Linked DNA regions of Arabidopsis thaliana. The protein of the gene in region 1 interacts with the protein of each later gene in a biochemical or structural test. Each region holds a gene or a part of one and is shown on either strand. Other genes may lie near its edges.

Region 1 (7,228 bases):
AACACTTAATTAACCAAAGAACCCCTTAAAAAGCTTTGTAATAACATTTCTATCCTTAGGACGGACCACAACAACAAGCCCCAAGGCAATGGCATGATCGACAAAACCCAGAGAGCCGGTCTCTGTACTCTGATCGACTGATAATGACGAGAACAACCTTGAGATGACGCACGGCAACAGTTAAGATCCTCGAGAGATGGGTAGGGATACGATCGTACTTTTGATTAGTGGAAGTAAGTCAGTTAAACACAGTCCTATGTGCATCATTTTCATCTTTTGCCAGTTACCACAGTTCACTGATCAACAATAATGGTTTCCCGACATGTATTTTATTTTATTTATACTGATTTTTTATTATCTCACAAAATTATCCAATTTGATTTTGTAAGAAAGTAGGATTTCGAATCATTTGCTTCTTTTGCCAGTTACCACAGTTCACTGATCAACAATAATGGTTTGCTCAGTGAACAAACATATTAGTTTTTTTTTTTTTAATCTTGTATTAAATATGGAATCAAAATGCAAAAGAAAAAAATGAATTTTTAATGATATAGATCTAAAGAAATACTGAATGTCAAAATTTTGAAAGCAGATTTTTAGTCACATGATTAGGGAAATATGTAGCCACTAGAATAAGTCGTACTCGTATTAGGTGAATTTTTGTTTTCTTCTTTATGGACCCGGATCAATAGAATAAGTTTTCATCTGCAACGCACTTTCTTGCACTAAATAATAAACTTATATTAGTGAAAAATTTATAATAATGAAAACATTTCTTGTTTAATGGTTTACTTCGAATGATAAGAATTGGTAAGCACGTGTTAGGAAATGTATACTTTTTTGGGGAAAATGTCGAAGATATACTTTTGGATGGGTGTGTGTGTATTGCAGATTCGTTTGTTGAAGCTTGATTTCGTATTTGGTACCAAATCGAATATATTTAACCTGACTAATAGATTATTATGATAGCACTAAACCTAACAATTATTGTTTGCTACTACAATCATAAAGAATTCAATTTATACTCTTTTTGAGAGTTTTTATGTTTAATCTTATTAGCATATCTCGAGAACTTTTACACAAAAGAACCAAAGCTGAATTTTGGTCTTTGTATCAATTGGGAGAGACACAAACATGACTGAGTCTTTAGGAACTGTTGCTTTCTCTTGAATCATGTAAACAGAAAGACACGCTGTAAAAGCAAACAGCCCACTGGTGTGTAGCTAAAAGACAGAACAAAGGTCACAAAGTCATCTTTTTGTTAAAAAATTTTGGTTTCGAAATTGAAAACAAAAAAAGAGAGAGTGGGTTCAAATTTTCAAGTGGTCCATTTCAAAATCTTGTAGGGTTTAAAAAAAAGAAGACTTTACGATAAAAGTGAAAATGAAAAGTAAAAAATGGGACAGGACCAGGGGACCATAAGCTTCATCATCATGGCCAACCAAAGTAACCAACTACCATACATTATCTACTTATAGTCATATATCTGTACTTTGACCCATGAGCCACCCATCAATATGGTTCAGATGAACAATTTTCAATCCTGAAACTACTTTATAACCAATAGTATTGGTGAAGCATTGCATCAGCTTAATAGATACAATGAGTAAAGGGTAAACCTATGAAGATTTGTGTTCATTCTCTCAAATGCCTTTGCACTTGCAGGAGTCTTTGCCTTAAGACCTACCTAAATAGTTCTGAGTCACACAGAGAACTATTACAAGTTTAGAACAGTCTGTTGCACTTCCCTTACACCAAACAAAAATTAGACTTTTACATAATGAGGCTAGAATCAATCTAACAAGCTTAGTAAGCAACAGATGATTACTGCATGAAGAAGGTGGCATGTACCTACATGTTTGATTTCTGAAGAGAGAGAGTGATGATTTATTCTTTCTTCTGTGTCCAAATCCTTACTGTCTTGTCGAGCGAGCCTGATGCGATCAAGTTCTCTGTCGGGTGGCATGCTACGTTCATGACGGTCTCAGTATGACCCTCAAGTTTCTGTAGCAGTTTCTTGGAGTTTAGCTCCCACATGTGTACACAGTTGTCCTCGGATCCACTGACTATTCGCTTTCCATTTGTGACGGAGAACGCAGAGGAAATGCAATACTGTGCGTTCACGTGGCCAGTGTATGTTTTGAGGAACTTAGCAGACGAAATGTTCCACAACCTCTGCAAATTTATAACGAATCATGAGAATTCCTTTATTCAACAATACCCTATAGACGCAAACACCAAAAGAAGATGTATCTTACAACCCTCTAAATACGACCCTTCAAAAGTGTTGAATCTCGATCAATAACAGAACTGTTCCAAAGCTATCAACTTTTCCTTAACTAGATAACAATTTTTGCAAAAATAGCTTTGGATTGGCTTCTCCTACATCAAACTTCTATTAACACACAACCTAGAATCTAAGTTCATGGAGAGATGAGTGCATTAATAACGAATCATAAGAATTTAATTTCCTAATGCAAATTAATCAAACTCCAAACGACGATGTATCTTCGAAGCTACAACCCTCTAGATACGACCCTTCGAAACTCTTGAATATCAACCAACAACAGAACTATACTTAAAGCTAACAACTTCTCTGTAAACTTAGTTTTGAATTGGCTTCTCCTACATCAAACTTCTACTAACACACTCTACCCAAAATCTTCATGCTTTTTTTCGAGATCACTATAGAGCAAAACTAGTAATCACACTAAAAACATCAAATCTTTGAAAGGAATTCAACAAGTGAACTCACCAGCGTGTTATCAAGTGTACCAACGAGGATAAACTTGCCATTAGGAGAGAATCTAACAAACGAAACAGGAGGATTCTCATCATCAATCAGAGTTTTCACACAATGACCAGTCCCAGAATCCCATATACGACACAACCCATCATAGCTACTCGAAACAATGAGAGACCCATCTCTATTAAAATCAACAGCAGTAACAGGATCAGAATGCGCGGGAAGAACTTTCAAACACTTTCCAGTAGTGACATCCCAGATCCGAACAGTTTCATCAAACGAACCAGATACAATCATATTTGATTGAGGATTGAAATTGACACAGAAGGCGTAATTAGTGTGTCCAATAAGCGTCTTGATCAATGAACCAGTTTCAACGTCCCATAGCTTTAAGGTTTTGTCATCGGAAGCTGAGACTATAAACCTCGCGTCTGAAGAGAATGCAACATCGGAGATACCGTTTTCATGGCCGGTGAATTCTTGTACGGGCTCGGCGATTGGATCGTTAATGGTGTTGATTGTGTAAGTGCGGATTGTTTTGTCGGCGGAGGCGGATGCGAGGAGACGTCCATCGGAGGAGAATTTCACGGAGGAGACGGCGCGATTGTGAGATGTTAGAGTTTGTGAATGGACGTATGGAGTGAATGATGCTGTTGCTGGAATTTCCTCTGCCATGGAAATTGGTTAGCGGAATTTGAATTTGGCTGATTTTAGGGTTTTGGGAAAGGAGGCTTTGTCTAACTAAAGGAGAGAGACGACGATCCAGTGTTCTTGGAAAAACCCCGACTCTTTTAAATAAATTGTGGGGTGTGTTTTGAATGAAATAATACTATTGGGGTGTATTTAGAGTTTTCGTAAATTATATAGTTTCACGAGCGACTCACGTGCTCGCTTTCCAAGCTCAAACCTTCAGAATGATACAGAGTCTTTTGGAATGTCTTAAAATTTTAGTTCTTTCTTGCTTCGCAAATTAAATCAACAACACTCTTCATATATTGACTACCACAGTTTTAACCTAAGACTCTTTAGTTATCATGTAAGTTTGGTATGCCGTAACAATCATGGACTAGATTTTAACCCTCGGTATACCAGGGGATGATTTATTTTTTAAAAGTAATATATATTAAAATTTGCAAATTTTATTTTTATAAAATATTTATATTTTACAGTTTATAATTGTTATTAAGTAACACTATACCACGAATCCATGAGACAATTGTTAAAAAACTGAAGTTTTAACCCCTATTAAAACAACATATTAATAATATTTTAAAATTTTATAAATATTAATTCAAATACATCCACCATATAACCCAATTCCAAAATAAAACCCGTTATGTAATTTCTTTACCCGTTCCGTGATTTTTTTTTAAAGTAGTAATTTTTAAAATTTAAGAATTATTTATTCTATATAAAAGTTTTGCAAATTGTATCATTCTCTAATACATTTATATTTTATAGTTTAAGTTTATATATAGTAACATTATACATACCACATAACATTTTTGGTTTTATATAATTTTTTCTAAATTAGGATGATTTGATATGTTTAATATTAGTGGTCTTAAAAAATAATAAATTAAAGATTTAACCCGTATTGAAATGGTGGATTAATTATATTTTACTTTTTTTATTAATGTTGATTCAAAAACCCGTCCCTCCAAATCCGTCTTGCCAAAAAGCCATTTATTTTATTAATAGTAATTTTATTTATGATATGACTCTGAATTATAATCTAAACATTTTAGCTAATAACATAGGAGTATACCATATTTATTTAATAGGTGAATGTACCATATGACCCGAATGCACTTTTACCCAAATCCACCAAAAAAGTCTTGCAAAAATACTATAGACCTGAATGTACCATATTTTTTTTTGTGCTAATTTTTATGTGATTAAGATTTACTTTATTTCGTATATAAAATATTAAATTGTTTTACGAACTTAATTGTTTATAATTTGGTAATAGATAGATATTTGAATATTCAGTATATTTTGCTTTAGTTAGAAAATCTTTGATGACCCGTCTTTAAATCCAATAAGCCTATAATTAAGAGATGAATATTGTCGTTAAATGATTTTGGTAATCTTAATGTGTTATTAAAAGATTTTGTTTTTGATTAAATTTTTCTAATGGCATTGTCATGTAATTAATTACAAAAATTAAGGTTACATTTAAAATGTACTTCCCAAATAATATAGTAGGATACATCATACATATTTAATGAGTTTCAATCTTGTACTTGTGACGTTAAATTGATATTTTGGGAGTGTTATTGGTTTGTGATTTAATTTGAGTTTTATTAACTTAAAATATTATGTAAAATTTGTTGTTATCAAATTAATATTTTTAAAAGTTTGTTAAAGTTTGGTACTATTAGTTTAAAATTTGTAAAAAAAAATTTAAAATCTTCATAAATTTGGAGTTATTGGATTCATACTTTTATAAAGTCATTAAAAGTTTTGTGTTATTCAATTAAAACAAAAGAATCAATGATTGTTTAATAAATTAAATTATTGTGTTATTAGTATATAACTTTCTATATTTTTCTTCTTAAAATAAAGTCATGAAAGTATCATCAAAATAATGATATTATTTGGAAAATTTTACAAAATTGTGAGAAAATAATCAATAAGAATTAAACAACTTTCTAGCAATAGTTTAAATTAATCTTTCATTTATTTACTTTTTATAATATTATTAAGGTCATGAAAATTTCTTTAGGAACCAATAACATCTCTTTAGTATTTATTATAGACTAAACAAATCACTAACAACTAACAAGACCACTACCACCACCACCACTGCTAATTTTCTGCTAGCAATTCAACTGTTACATTTTCGTATGTTATAAATGATAAAGCTAGATATGAACGAGCACCTTATTATAATTTATGTACCATTGATGAGCCGGAAGATTCTTCGGTGAGATATAAACTTCAAGTTTTTTTTTTTTCGATAAACATACTGTTCCGTATTTATATTTTATCATAAACTTCAAGTTGAAATTTTAGAACATGCAATGCATATTAAATTGTAAATAAACTAGGTGTGAGTACCCATACTTCTATGTGGGTAGTCGTAATGCATAAATAACTAAGGATTTCATATAAAATTATGACTTCGTTGGTAATGTGCAAGATGGGCGAAATAACAAAAAATAAATAAAGAAATTTACTATATTGTAGGTTTACCAATCATAAATTATTGGAGATCATAAATCATAATATCATATCTTCACCTAGGAAAATCATTATTTAATTAATTTTGTTAAATTTTAATTATAAAGTATGATTAATTATAGTTTACCAGTCATAAATTATGATTCTGTTAAATTTAGTTCTTCCTTTATTTTTATTTTTTTGTCAGAGATTCAACTACTAAAATGTACAACTAGCATTTATTTTCTACTGTCGTTATTCCGGATTATTGCTTATAAGAACTTATACGAGTTTATACGTTTATAAACAGTGACGAAGGAGAATTGTTTGTGTAGAACTTTGGCCTTCTTCACTATATGTTGCAGTTAGATACCGTTTCTTTTTGTTTGTTAATGGGTATATATTGCTTTTGATATTGACATATTGTTGAGAATAAATAAACTTGAACTACCAAAATTATGGAGGATATCGATGTGATGTCTTTCGTAGTTATGAGTCAGTAAGGTTGGTAAAATATTTCCCTCTTTTAGATGAAATCAGACTCGATTGAATCTTTCTTTTTATAAATGTAGAATGCTTATTTATAGTATTTACTTTTATTGAATGTTGGAATACCGGATGAACCAACTAACCATGACAAAAAAATTTGTAATCTAGCGATTTTTAAGCATCTTCTCATTCGTGTGTAAATGAATTATTGGAAAGAAGCTTATCATAAATGATTTCCCGATTTCTATCTTCAACCGAACTACATCCAAACTATTCTGGCTAAACTTTTTCTAGGCCTAATAGATTACACAATCCGAATGATCCAATATTCGGAAGAAACTGGACAGAGCTAAATTTATGCTTAGGCCTAAGACCATCTCTATTGTATTTTTCTATTTTTGATTCTGTATAAAAATAGTTTGAGTGTAAAAAATAAAGTTACTTTAGATATAAAGTAAGCTTACCATTTACTCTATTTTAGAGTAATATATAGAGTAAATTAAAAAGATTATTACTCCATAACAGAGAAGAAATATCGATTAGAGTTGGAGATGGTCTCGCGGTAGTATCACTTTTTATAGGTAAAAGAAAATTGTCAACAACACGAACATATTTTAATGAAATTATTAGCAAATATGAAATTTATTTATTCGTCACGTCAGCATATATTGTATATCCTATGGTATTAGATGGCACGTCGTGTAACAGAGTTCACAACTTCGTCAAATTAAATTTGTTTAAAATTCAATTTGCCACATAAACCCAAAATTAAAAAAGCTGTTGGACTAAATTAAATCGCCACTTTAAAGTTAATAACTCATCCACAAA
Region 2 (10,835 bases), on another chromosome or scaffold:
AACTATAAATACTTTGTGTAAATGCAGTTTTTGGTACCAAAGGGATATTGCTTTGGACAAATCAATGATTTAAATCCTTGCAAAACCTCTGTTTCAGGTAGAGATACTAGACAGTAAGGTTAAAAACATTATGCTCTGCATCCCAATTGCTAAAAATTGACACCATCAGGATAAAACCTAAGGCACACTCAAATCAGGAAAGAAAAAGAGAATTGTACTGTTGCTTTACCACTCTGTGATCCGTGTAGTTTACTACTCACTAATTAGTATCTGTACAAAAAAATGGATTGTGGCAAAACTAAACAACAGATGCTCTCTCATTATAAGGAGCTACAACATTATAAAGGGATGATTGTTACTAACTACAGTTTTAGTCGCTTATTCTGCGGTCCAGTCTATTAGATCACAACGAGGAACACATATTTTTGCATGTTGTTCTTCAGCTTCTGTATCATTAACAACACCTCGACACCCTGGGAAGCCACACGAACATGAAAGGCGCTCCCCGATTGAAAAGAACCTGTAAACATTACAAGATCAGAGGCAGAAAATGATCATAGAATATCTCAGATGATTCAAAGGGCATCAAAGTGAAACCTATAGTCATAGGTCAGCTCTTCCCATTTAGGGATATGCCTCTTTGCGAATATGATAATGTGCTCATCTCCATTAACAGTGATGACTCGAGAATAGCAATTGGGCTGCATTAAAGTTAGACAAAAATGCTCAGTTTTTGCAGATGCTAACTAAATTGAATTAGATTAACAGATATATTCATACCACACATGAATGATTAATCAGGTGAGCAATGCTTCCTGTCCTTGTAGCATCTATGACTCGCTCATCATCGATTCTAAACATGTAAGTCCCTGCACCCTATCACATAAGAAAATTTTGTTTTTTCTCAGATATTGAATTCGTCGCATCCAAGATTTATACTACAGAGAAAGTAAAAGATAAAAGAAAAATACAAAAAGTTACTGTTTTAGATGATGAATAGGTACAGATTAATCCCCTGACTATTTGTTCCATTATTGTTTATAGAATCTTCTCCATAACATCAAAATGTAGAAAGTAAGTTAAGTCAGAAATACGTACCACCATTGAATTGTAGATGAGTTGTTCTCTTTTGTCAGCTATTGACGGTCTAACAAGTTCTCCGGTATATTCAATCATCTGCACAAGAATCATACAATATTTCCATGAGTGACACTTTCTAAAGATGAAATGTCCAGTTCAAGTTGAGTATGCTCACCATATCTCCCGCCCTGTGAGGAAGCTTTGCAAAAATGCCAAAACCATGAATTCCTGATTTCCCTGAAACAAAAAAAGAACCAACTTTTATAAGATTTTTCTGAAAGAAGCTTAGGATGTGACTAGATCATTCTGAAAGGAATCCTACAAATTATTTTTATCCTACAGAAATCCTACTATATTTTTTATCTTAGCAGAAGTTGAAAAGACCTGTAATATCTTTTAAGATTTACTGAAAGTTAAAGAATAACGAATGCTTACCAAATGCTAATCTCTTCCTGTATGTTTCCCTCATGTATCTATATTTCTCAGCCATAGAAAGAATGTTGCTTGGAGTATTCATCTGTGACACCTTGGATCCGTGAATGCTTTTGTACGTTGAAAACTCAAGTCTAGAGTAACCACCAATAACATATGGCTGATTCTCAACAAATAACCGCTTTGAAGAAGCAGCAGCAAGAGCTTCAGGTTCCTTTCGCCCTCTTCTGCCAAAACAATTATAAGGCTCTGCAACAATAGACGGAAATTATCATCTATACTGACCCATAGGATGCAAACACGAATAAAAGTAGAAAAGAATGGAAACACAAAAGCCTGAAATTTGACCTTTGTATCAAATCTAAAAAATGCTTGTATATAAAGTAAGAAACTGATATCTTAAGAGGATATGTAAGAATATGAAAGAGAACAAAACACACATGGCCGTATGCAAGGTAAAAGAATAATGATGAAATAATCCTGTCCCAAAAGTGTGGTGTGAATCTAAATTTTAATCTTAGCATCCACAGATAAACGCAGTAGCTGCATACCTGTCCGAGCACAGCCAGATGGATTAGGTGGTGGGAGATACTCAGAAGTTTTATGAGTAGCGGATTTGATCCTGTCTTCTGATCCTAGGCAGGCAGTTGATGTTTGTCGATGTCGCTTGCAGAATGAAAGCATGCGGATACACTGATCTGCTTCTTCACCCTCCACTGACATGTCATTCTCAAGCTACATGGAGAGTCAGGAAAGCAATAATCAGTTAGAAACATCTCTTTTGTGGACTTGCTGTGTTAGAGTACATGTGTGTAAGTGGGAAAGAAATTTTTTTTATTCCCTAAGGTACCTCAACACAGAGACCAGCAGCTCGCGCGCAGAGTGGATGATATGCCACGCGACAAGAATTGTTTGAACACTGAAATGTAGTCATTTTAAAATTATATATATCAGCTCTTGAACAATGCATAAGAATGATTCAGTTTTCTCTTAACATAGAACGAAATCTTACTTGGATACAAGCTCCATAAGATACCCCGCAGATGGTGCACATTAATTTCCAACGATCCTAGTTTTAAGAGTAGAGAAAAAGAGGAAGAGGGATAAGAGTTTTGAAAAGGCCACAGTACCAAGGTAAAGGAATCCGAACAAGAAAATAAGTACGTACCTTGCTGACTTTATTCACCCCATCAATAGGTTCCATCTTCTTGACATCAGATAAACATGTTTCTGAATAAAATAACAAGTGTTAATTTGTAAATAGGAAAGTAATAGTGTAATACGGCCTCCTATTAGTAGGAAAGCAGACTTATACAGAACAACAAATCGTTAAGATTGAACCTGGGATCCATATAGCACAAGCCAGATGAGCCCAGCGACCATCAGTTGTCGGCTTCATAGCACCCCCTAAAAGAAGTTTCAATTATTCACTAATGAAAGCACATATAGACTCCATACACCAAATGGTACGGTAAAATTACCTACTACAGGACAAAGACAACACCGTGGAGGCATATCAGGAGCACCAGGACGACATAAGTTGCATAACCACAAAGCACCATCACAGGGTTCTAGCTCTCCATAGCATTTAGCATGGACCTAGTAGTGGACCAGGAATTCAAATTGAGTCATACCCAAGAGAAAGAAAGAGCACAAGGCACTAAAGATATACATCTAAGAGGTATATGATAGCTAAAAAAGCCCAGAGCATGAGCTATACCATCATTCTACATTTATCACATTGCAGGAACAAATTGTTCTCATACTCCTGCAGACAAAAAATATATAAATCAGAACTAACTAAAGAGAAACGTTTGAAATCTCATGTGAAACAAAAAAAAAACCTTTACCTCATCCATGTGGCAGACATTGCACTTATCGAGATCTTTCCAGTCAACACGGACAGGTCGGTAACCAGTAGGCTGATTTTGATGCCTTCCCAAACTATTTTTGCACATGGAAACATGGGACGATGGTCTGGATTTTGATAAATCCTGCTACGTAATGGTATATTAGGGTGAGACACATATTAAGTGTAGACACTAGAAGCTAAACAATAATGCAATTGTATAAAACAGGGCGCCGGCAAGCAGTACATAGGGAATTAATTATAAAAGTTTGCAAATTCTAGCAACCATCTTGATAGGTATCTGCCTAATGAAATAATATAAGGTAATATGTCCTACAAAACGAGTTTCGCTATAAAGACTCCAGAACAGAATTCTACTCTTTAGTTTCACTTAAACACAAATTTTCTTTCAATCAATAGACCAAATGCACATATTTTATCCTTAGAAACTCACTGTAAATACTTGTTAAGCTGGCTTCGATTAATAACTGTTAATTTAATTCATACAGTTTTCTTACAGAAGAGAAAGAAACCGTAACAATTAAAGAAAAGAAGCCATAGTCACTAGGCAGAAATGATTATTTCGTAGGTGAAGTTAGTGTTGTCTCATTGATGAAGATGTGATTCTAATATGCCTTTAGACCGGAAATAGCGAATTAGGCTACCCATAAACCAATTAGCAAAGAGCTGCATAGAAATATTTAGTGCACAAGCTTAAATGTCTTACAGGAAAACTTGGTTTGTGCATCAAACATTCATATTAAACATAAATGAGACCCGCTTACACGTTTTAGAGATAAAGCAAAAGCAAGGGTACCACAAAATATTCAGTGTCCAGACAATTATATGATTTTTATGAGACCAAAATGCATGTGCAAGCAGATTATCATGAAAACACATGCACACCACCACAAATAATTTTACATGCAATGACAAGGTACCTGTACAAGTTTAATGACTTCTGGGTTGGAGAGACCAAACATGTCTGTACCAGATCCATTTAGTTCTTCACCCAAAATATTAGGACTGTCAGAATTCTGGACCTTTTTTATCCTATTATATATTTTGTTCCAGCAGGCCGATGGAGTAGGCCCTTTGAACTGCCAAAAAATTAGTTACCGATGTTAGCCAGAGATAGATTCTTGACCTGAAAGTTCAATAAAACAGATACTAATAGATATGTTTAACTCACCTGCTCTCCACTATCTGCAGTCACTATAAACAGCGGATGAGTCTTTGTCTCGGCATCTCTGAGCACTTCCATCTTGTACAAGGCAGATGCACTATGATCTGCTTAAAACCAAAAGCAACAACCCACATCACATTGAGAACTAATCACAATTAACCAAATATGGAAAAATACCTGATTTATAAGTAAAAGCCAAAAACTGATTAACAAATAACCTGTGAGTGATGTGAACTTTCTCATCGCCGTATACCCTTCAGGCCAAATATGATTCTCATCCTTGAAAAACTGAGAGTCTGTCACAACCTTTCCTGTAAGACAAGTCATACGCCTATATATTATCATTGGAGTTTTCCTATAACCAACTATAAATAATGAACCATAGAATGAAAGATTATACACCATACTTATATATAAGTTTCATGGCTTACCAAGATTTATTATTAGCAGATCCCCTATTATATGCCGGAAGTCTACATGTTCTGTTGGTCTCAACCACACTTCTCCATCATTAAGAAGATCACCACCCGAGTTTCCCTCTTCTGTACTATTAGCCATATCGGAATCAACAGAATCAGCTCCCTTTTGAAGTTGACTCATTCTTTCTGGAAGCCTGTGTGCCTTCAGATACCTGAGTGAGGCAAAATAACAGAAATTTCAGGACAGGTAACATGTCCAGGTTTCAAAATGAAACATCATGAAGAAATGATTGGTCTAATTGTTAATGCAACATGTACTGGAAAGTCAAGAAAGCAGAATGCCAAAGAAAAGCGAGAGGGACTTGCATTTTTGCTTCCTGCATGCCCTCTTCAAACCGAGGTTGTTTGCACTTCAGGTGAGATGGCGAAAGAAGCCCTTTGATAAATGAGATTGCTTGCTTTACTTTTATTCTATAAAACCAAAGGATGTTAACTTCAGCTTGATAATGTGTAACATTGATCTCAACATCTCAGTAGAAAAACGAGATTTTTTAAGTATATAGGAAACGCTGACTAACCTAGCAAAATCATGAGTTCCAAAAAATTGGACCAAGAGTGATCCTCCTCCAGATACCTTGTTGTTTAGACCTTTCCGCTCTCCGATAATGGATTCGTCTACAATAACTGCTGGCCACATAGCATGACCTGTCCGAATAGGAAAGCAAATGCAGTTCTATGGAAGTCAGTAGGTAGTTTTCTTTGTCTACATGCTTCCAACAGCATCAACTTGCTGATAGCATAAGGAGGTATTTTTTTTAATATATGAATAAAAGGTGGAAATCAGTTTAAGACAAACCAGCTAGTTTCGCCCATACAATGTCTCCAGGCTCAAAATCTTGGCATTCGTCCAAAGTAGCTGCCAATACAACCATCTCATCGTAATCACGGCCATCGACAGTCACATTACTAGTACAAAACTTCAGATGTAATAGCTCCATCTCTTCACGAGAAACCAAAAATTTGATCATTTCACGATCAAAAACTATATCCTCATCACATCCATCCCTATATTTGACCTAAGGAAGAATTTAATCATGGTTAGAGGAACAAGCTTTTACATATATCATAGCTCAAAGAACTACCCAACTCATAACTCAAGTAGAGTAGAGAATTACTTACAGTGTAACGCTTTCTCTCTGCACTATATCCAACAATGGAACCTTCATACCAAAGAGCGTCCAGCGGCCAAAAAACCTAGGGATTAAACGACAACCAATTGTTAAGATGTCCCATTCACAAAAAAAGTGGAAAATGCAATAGCTTAAAGTGGACAATTGTCTAGTTAAAACACTCGCCTTGCATTGCAGCCCTATGAAACTTGTAGGATCCACACCATCATAACTCAACCTGCCACATCAAAACTCCATCATAAGGAGTCTGCCCACTAACAATAAAAGGTCTTCAAAGTCTGAACTAAGAAAATCATCAGTGCAAAACAACAGCGCAACAGTTTCAAAGTCCATGAATTTCAACAGTTAAAGAGATGATAGGTAGACCCTAACCTGACCCATTTCTTAGCTGAACGAGAAGCCAGAGTCGCCTTGTCCTGATTCTTGCTAGAAGACCCCTTCCTTCGGGATGACCCATTTTGCTTATTCCCACTAAACGCATTGTTTTCCTTACACCTTCTTAAACCAATCGACTCCATACCCGATTTCACCAACTCACAATTACCAATCTTCCTTCTCTTCTTCTCCTCAAAACAATCAATTTCATCAAGCTCCACACTTTCAGTCTTCACAGCCACCGCCTGATCTAGTAAACACTCCCGTAGCGGCCTCTTACGGCGACGATAGTAGACGCGAACAATCTCAGGACGCTGAATCCGCAACTTATAATCATCCGAACGACAACAATCGTCACTAGCACTAACACCGCTACCTTCAATCTCGAATTGCTCAATCATCGGAAGCTTCTGGGCCTTAACCTTCTTAGACATCAGACTGTGAGAACCAACGGCATTAACACAGCACAATGCCGATGAAGGAATAGAGTAGATACTCTCAATAGAATCGTAGCGAATCGGAGCTTCCACTAGATCGTGGACATCAATTTCGATCTGGGTTTCGTTAGAAAAACACGCCATGGAGATTATTCGGAGGGAGAAAGCACAGGGCTTCGTAAAGGAGACACCTTTGCTCACTCTCTCTATCCTTCTTTCACTAAACCCCCAAAAAAATTGCTAGGGAATTTCGTGGATTGGAGAAATTAGGGTTTAGGAAGAAGAATCAGAGAAAAAGGGAAAAAAACAGATCCTTTGGAGGGAGAAGCTAAAAGGCTTTTTTACGTTTCCCGCCGGGTTTATTAAGATGATGACAAGTCTTTCAGATCTATTGCTCTGTCTCCTTATATATCTCCGCATACATACATTCATATATAGTGTGTGTGTGTATGTATATAAAAATTAATATCTGGTTAATAAAAACATATAAAACTAAAAATAAAATAAATAAAAATTCCACTTGTAGAAAAAAAAAATCCCGGTTGTCATGTATTTTATTTTCAACAAGAGTCTTTTTTTTTTGGGCAAAATTCAACAAGAGTCTCTGATTCTTTTATATAGTTTTGTTTTCAGATAATTGTTGTTTACCAGTTTTTGTGTAATCTTCACTACATGGAATTTGTTTTGTTTTTTTTCAGTTCATACGTATATTTTTGGGTTTTTAGTCTGTTAAGTATAGTGTATAAGACATATTTTTCTGGTTAATCCAAATTAAATTCCATTGGAACAAAAAGACAAGATTGACTAGAATTTGAATGAAGGTAGAAATCAACCGAATTGCTCATAAATTCAATTATTGAATGGGGTTCTTCAAGTAATACTACCTATTTTCTCAAATGAGCTAGAGAATTTTCTTGTGAGGAAATTCCAACGATTTGCTCCCTTGGTATTACTTGTTTTGGATTGTTCTGAAGTTTTCTAGAATAATATAATATTTCAACCTAAAAAGCTTAGTTTGTGGATAAATAATCAAACATATGTTAAAGATTTTTGTGATAGATACAAGATTTTTTCTATGAATCGGACAAGTGGAACTCTAATCCAGTTTTTAAGGTGTGATAAGTTGAAGTAAAGATATGAGGTTAAAAGAAACATTTCAACTCACTTCCCTTATCTTCATTCTTAAATGAACGGCTATTCATAGCAATTACTTGATTTGGATTCATAAACCGAATATCTGTCTAGTAGGAGTAGTCTTTACTTAACTTAACTAAAGAACAATATACGGTTGACTGTAGTATATTAGTATGCTTTTGACACATGGAAAATACCGCTGCTAACTTGATCGCATCCAGTGACTTTTGCAGTGTGTCATATATGTTAATAAGGATGTAATCATCATGGTTAACAGTAGTTGCATTTTCTTATGCGGTAGCATACAATGCTCACTAGTGCTCTAAATTGATCCACATAGGGATGCTATACACGCTAGAGACATATATATTTAAAAGTAAGTAAGGTTAAAATACTTGCTTTCATGAGCTTCAAGATAGGTGATGTGTGTACCTCCAAAGTTCTTCCCATCAACTAGGCATTAGAATATGTCGTTTCCTAGATACTTGGGGCAGATTGGCGGCTTATCAGCTTTTCGGATGAAATTTTGATACTTGGACAAACTGGCAGCTGATGGATGGAACTTATTGTCAAAGTATCCATATAGCGTTTGTTGGTTGGCTTTCTCTAGATACCCACAAAATTTACACAACACATATGGCCTATGGTCACAAAATTCTTTGATGTCATCTAACATTGGGATTCATCATCGCTTACATGATTTACGTCCATATATACTTGGACATAAATATTATGGAATGAACAATTTTAAATTTTCATCAAAATACCAACCACACTCACTTAGGATTATGACCAGAACAAATAAAATAATACATACTTGATTAAAAGGAGAAAAACATTTTTTTATGTCTTTGTTAGTTTTTATTTTAAACTATATATTCATCAAAAAAAAAGAGGGAAAATCACATTTTCAGACACATACATGTCCAAAAATATTTGTTTTCCCCTCAAATTCACCTGAACTTAATTAGTAAGAGAATCAGTGACGTCATTTAGTAAGAGAAGACCCGGTTCGGAATAAACCGGCTAAAGAAGACCCGGGTCAATCAGAATCAAAATTGGGTGGTTTTGGTTAGTTAAACAACCCTAGGGATTTAAATACTGTAAATCGTCCAGCTCTATTTGTCCCTCTCCTCCACTCTCGCCAACTATCAATCAAATCTTCTTCTCCTTCTTCTCCGCCATTCTTGTCCCTCTTAAACCCTATCATGCTCTTCTGAGATTCTCCCCTCCTCTAATTCAGCTCTCTCTCTTGGTTGGGAATTTCAAATCGAATATCAACCACTGCCTCTGATCGTCATCAAGGTTTACTCTGTTTAGTGTCCGGATTCTCAAACTCCACGGAGAATGGATCTGCATAGCCTCGCTTTGATCCTCCGAACCGCCGCTCTTAGCCCTATTCCCGATGAGCGTAAAGTTTCTGAGCAGCAACTCAATCAGGTTTCTCAGTTTCCACTTCAATTTCTCTTTCGATGTATTTACACGGTTGCTTGGTCGCGAGTTTGATTGTTCTTATTCTGCTAGTAGTATCTTAAAGTTTGAGCTGAGTTCATGTATAGAGTTTCCTTATAAGTTCACTTTCTGGTTTTACTGAAGATAGTTCAAAGATTCCCACTCTTTTTGAACAAATCGTTATTTGCTTTAATTCACTGTAGCCAGATTTCAGTGGTGTTTACTATTTCTAATGATCAATTAAAGTTATGCAGTTTCTGATGCCTGAGTTTCTCGTTATTCTTTTGTCTTGCAGTTGGAGCACACGCCCCAGCATTTGGTGAGGTTATTGCAGATAGCCGTGGATGGAAATTGTGACATGGCAGTGCGTCAAATTGCTAGTATTCAGTTCAAAAATTTAATTGCTAAGAACTGGTCACCTGAGGATTGTGGTAATAATTTTGTATTCTAATTATCTTGTCTCGGCTTAGCGTTTGGAAGATCTTTAGATTAATTTGCATATTTGATGGTGCAGGTCCTGCAGTAAGGCAGCAGCAGATATTTGAGAGTGACAAAGAATTGGTGAGGGACAATATTCTCGTCTATGTCACCCAAGTTCCAACCTTACTCAGGTAAATTTGCCAGATAGCTTTTGGAATTATCATTCAAGTCATTTGGTTTGCTGAACTCTGTCTGACGTGGTCTGATTTTAAGCGATTTTATGAAAATATTTGTAACCTGTATGGCTAATCATGCCTACAAATTGCTCATCATCTTGTCTGATAGATTGTCTTCAAGCTGATAGTCCTCTTCTTTTATATATACATCTTTGAATGTGTCTCTACATTATCCTTAGGTTCTAGATATTAAAAAACGGCAGATAGAAGATGATTTTTTTTTAAGTTAGTATTTTTTTCTCATTACCTTGGTCCCAATAGCATCTTCTATAAGCCTCAACAACAACCATAATTTTTTTTTCCCCTAATTTTCTTATCCAGATCACAACTTGGAGAGTCTCTCAAGACAATTATTTATGCTGACTACCCAGAACAATGGCCACGTCTTCTGGATTGGGTGAAGTACAACTTGCAAAATCAACAAATTTATGGGGCTTTGTTTGTGTTGCGGATACTCTCTAGAAAATATGAGTAAGTTCACCACTTTCTGTTCCGTATCCCTATGTCTGTGTGTATGATTTAAAGGTTTGTTAGTGAAATTTTTGATATGCGTTATTGAGACATCTTCAAGATTATCTTTGGTGGCAATAGCGCAATTTCGAGTCTTGCATGTATCACACTGAGT

The links. Proteins that work in one complex are often made in the same cells at the same time.
Region 2: the proteins of WDR5a (region 1) and ATX1 form a complex in vitro, tested with the Arabidopsis thaliana proteins (one study listed by BioGRID).

The regions. Positions count from the first base shown.
Region 1 is NC_003074.8:18,409,883-18,417,110, reverse strand, and holds WDR5a (Transducin/WD40 repeat-like superfamily protein), read right to left. Parts: upstream 3,548-7,228; 5' UTR 3,422-3,547; coding exon 2,756-3,421; intron 2,176-2,755; coding exon 1,888-2,175; 3' UTR 1,398-1,887; downstream 1-1,397. UniProt on the Arabidopsis thaliana protein: Forms multiple COMPASS-like complexes involved in histone methylation by interacting with different histone H3 'Lys-4' methyltransferases such as ATX1, SDG14 or SDG16.
Region 2 is NC_003071.7:13,455,070-13,465,904, forward strand, and holds ATX1 (homologue of trithorax), read right to left. Parts: upstream 7,363-10,835; 5' UTR 7,113-7,362; coding exon 6,529-7,112; intron 6,374-6,528; coding exon 6,322-6,373; intron 6,221-6,321; coding exon 6,146-6,220; intron 6,043-6,145; coding exon 5,823-6,042; intron 5,672-5,822; coding exon 5,545-5,671; intron 5,438-5,544; coding exon 5,333-5,437; intron 5,179-5,332; coding exon 4,979-5,178; intron 4,859-4,978; coding exon 4,766-4,858; intron 4,652-4,765; coding exon 4,554-4,651; intron 4,462-4,553; coding exon 4,303-4,461; intron 3,507-4,302; coding exon 3,363-3,506; intron 3,281-3,362; coding exon 3,233-3,280; intron 3,112-3,232; coding exon 2,994-3,111; intron 2,920-2,993; coding exon 2,854-2,919; intron 2,743-2,853; coding exon 2,681-2,742; intron 2,582-2,680; coding exon 2,525-2,581; intron 2,432-2,524; coding exon 2,363-2,431; intron 2,248-2,362; coding exon 2,064-2,247; intron 1,762-2,063; coding exon 1,516-1,761; intron 1,318-1,515; and 11 more. Other genes in the region: SAD2 (ARM repeat superfamily protein), read left to right, coding at 9,450-9,542, 9,850-9,985, 10,069-10,165, 10,532-10,681.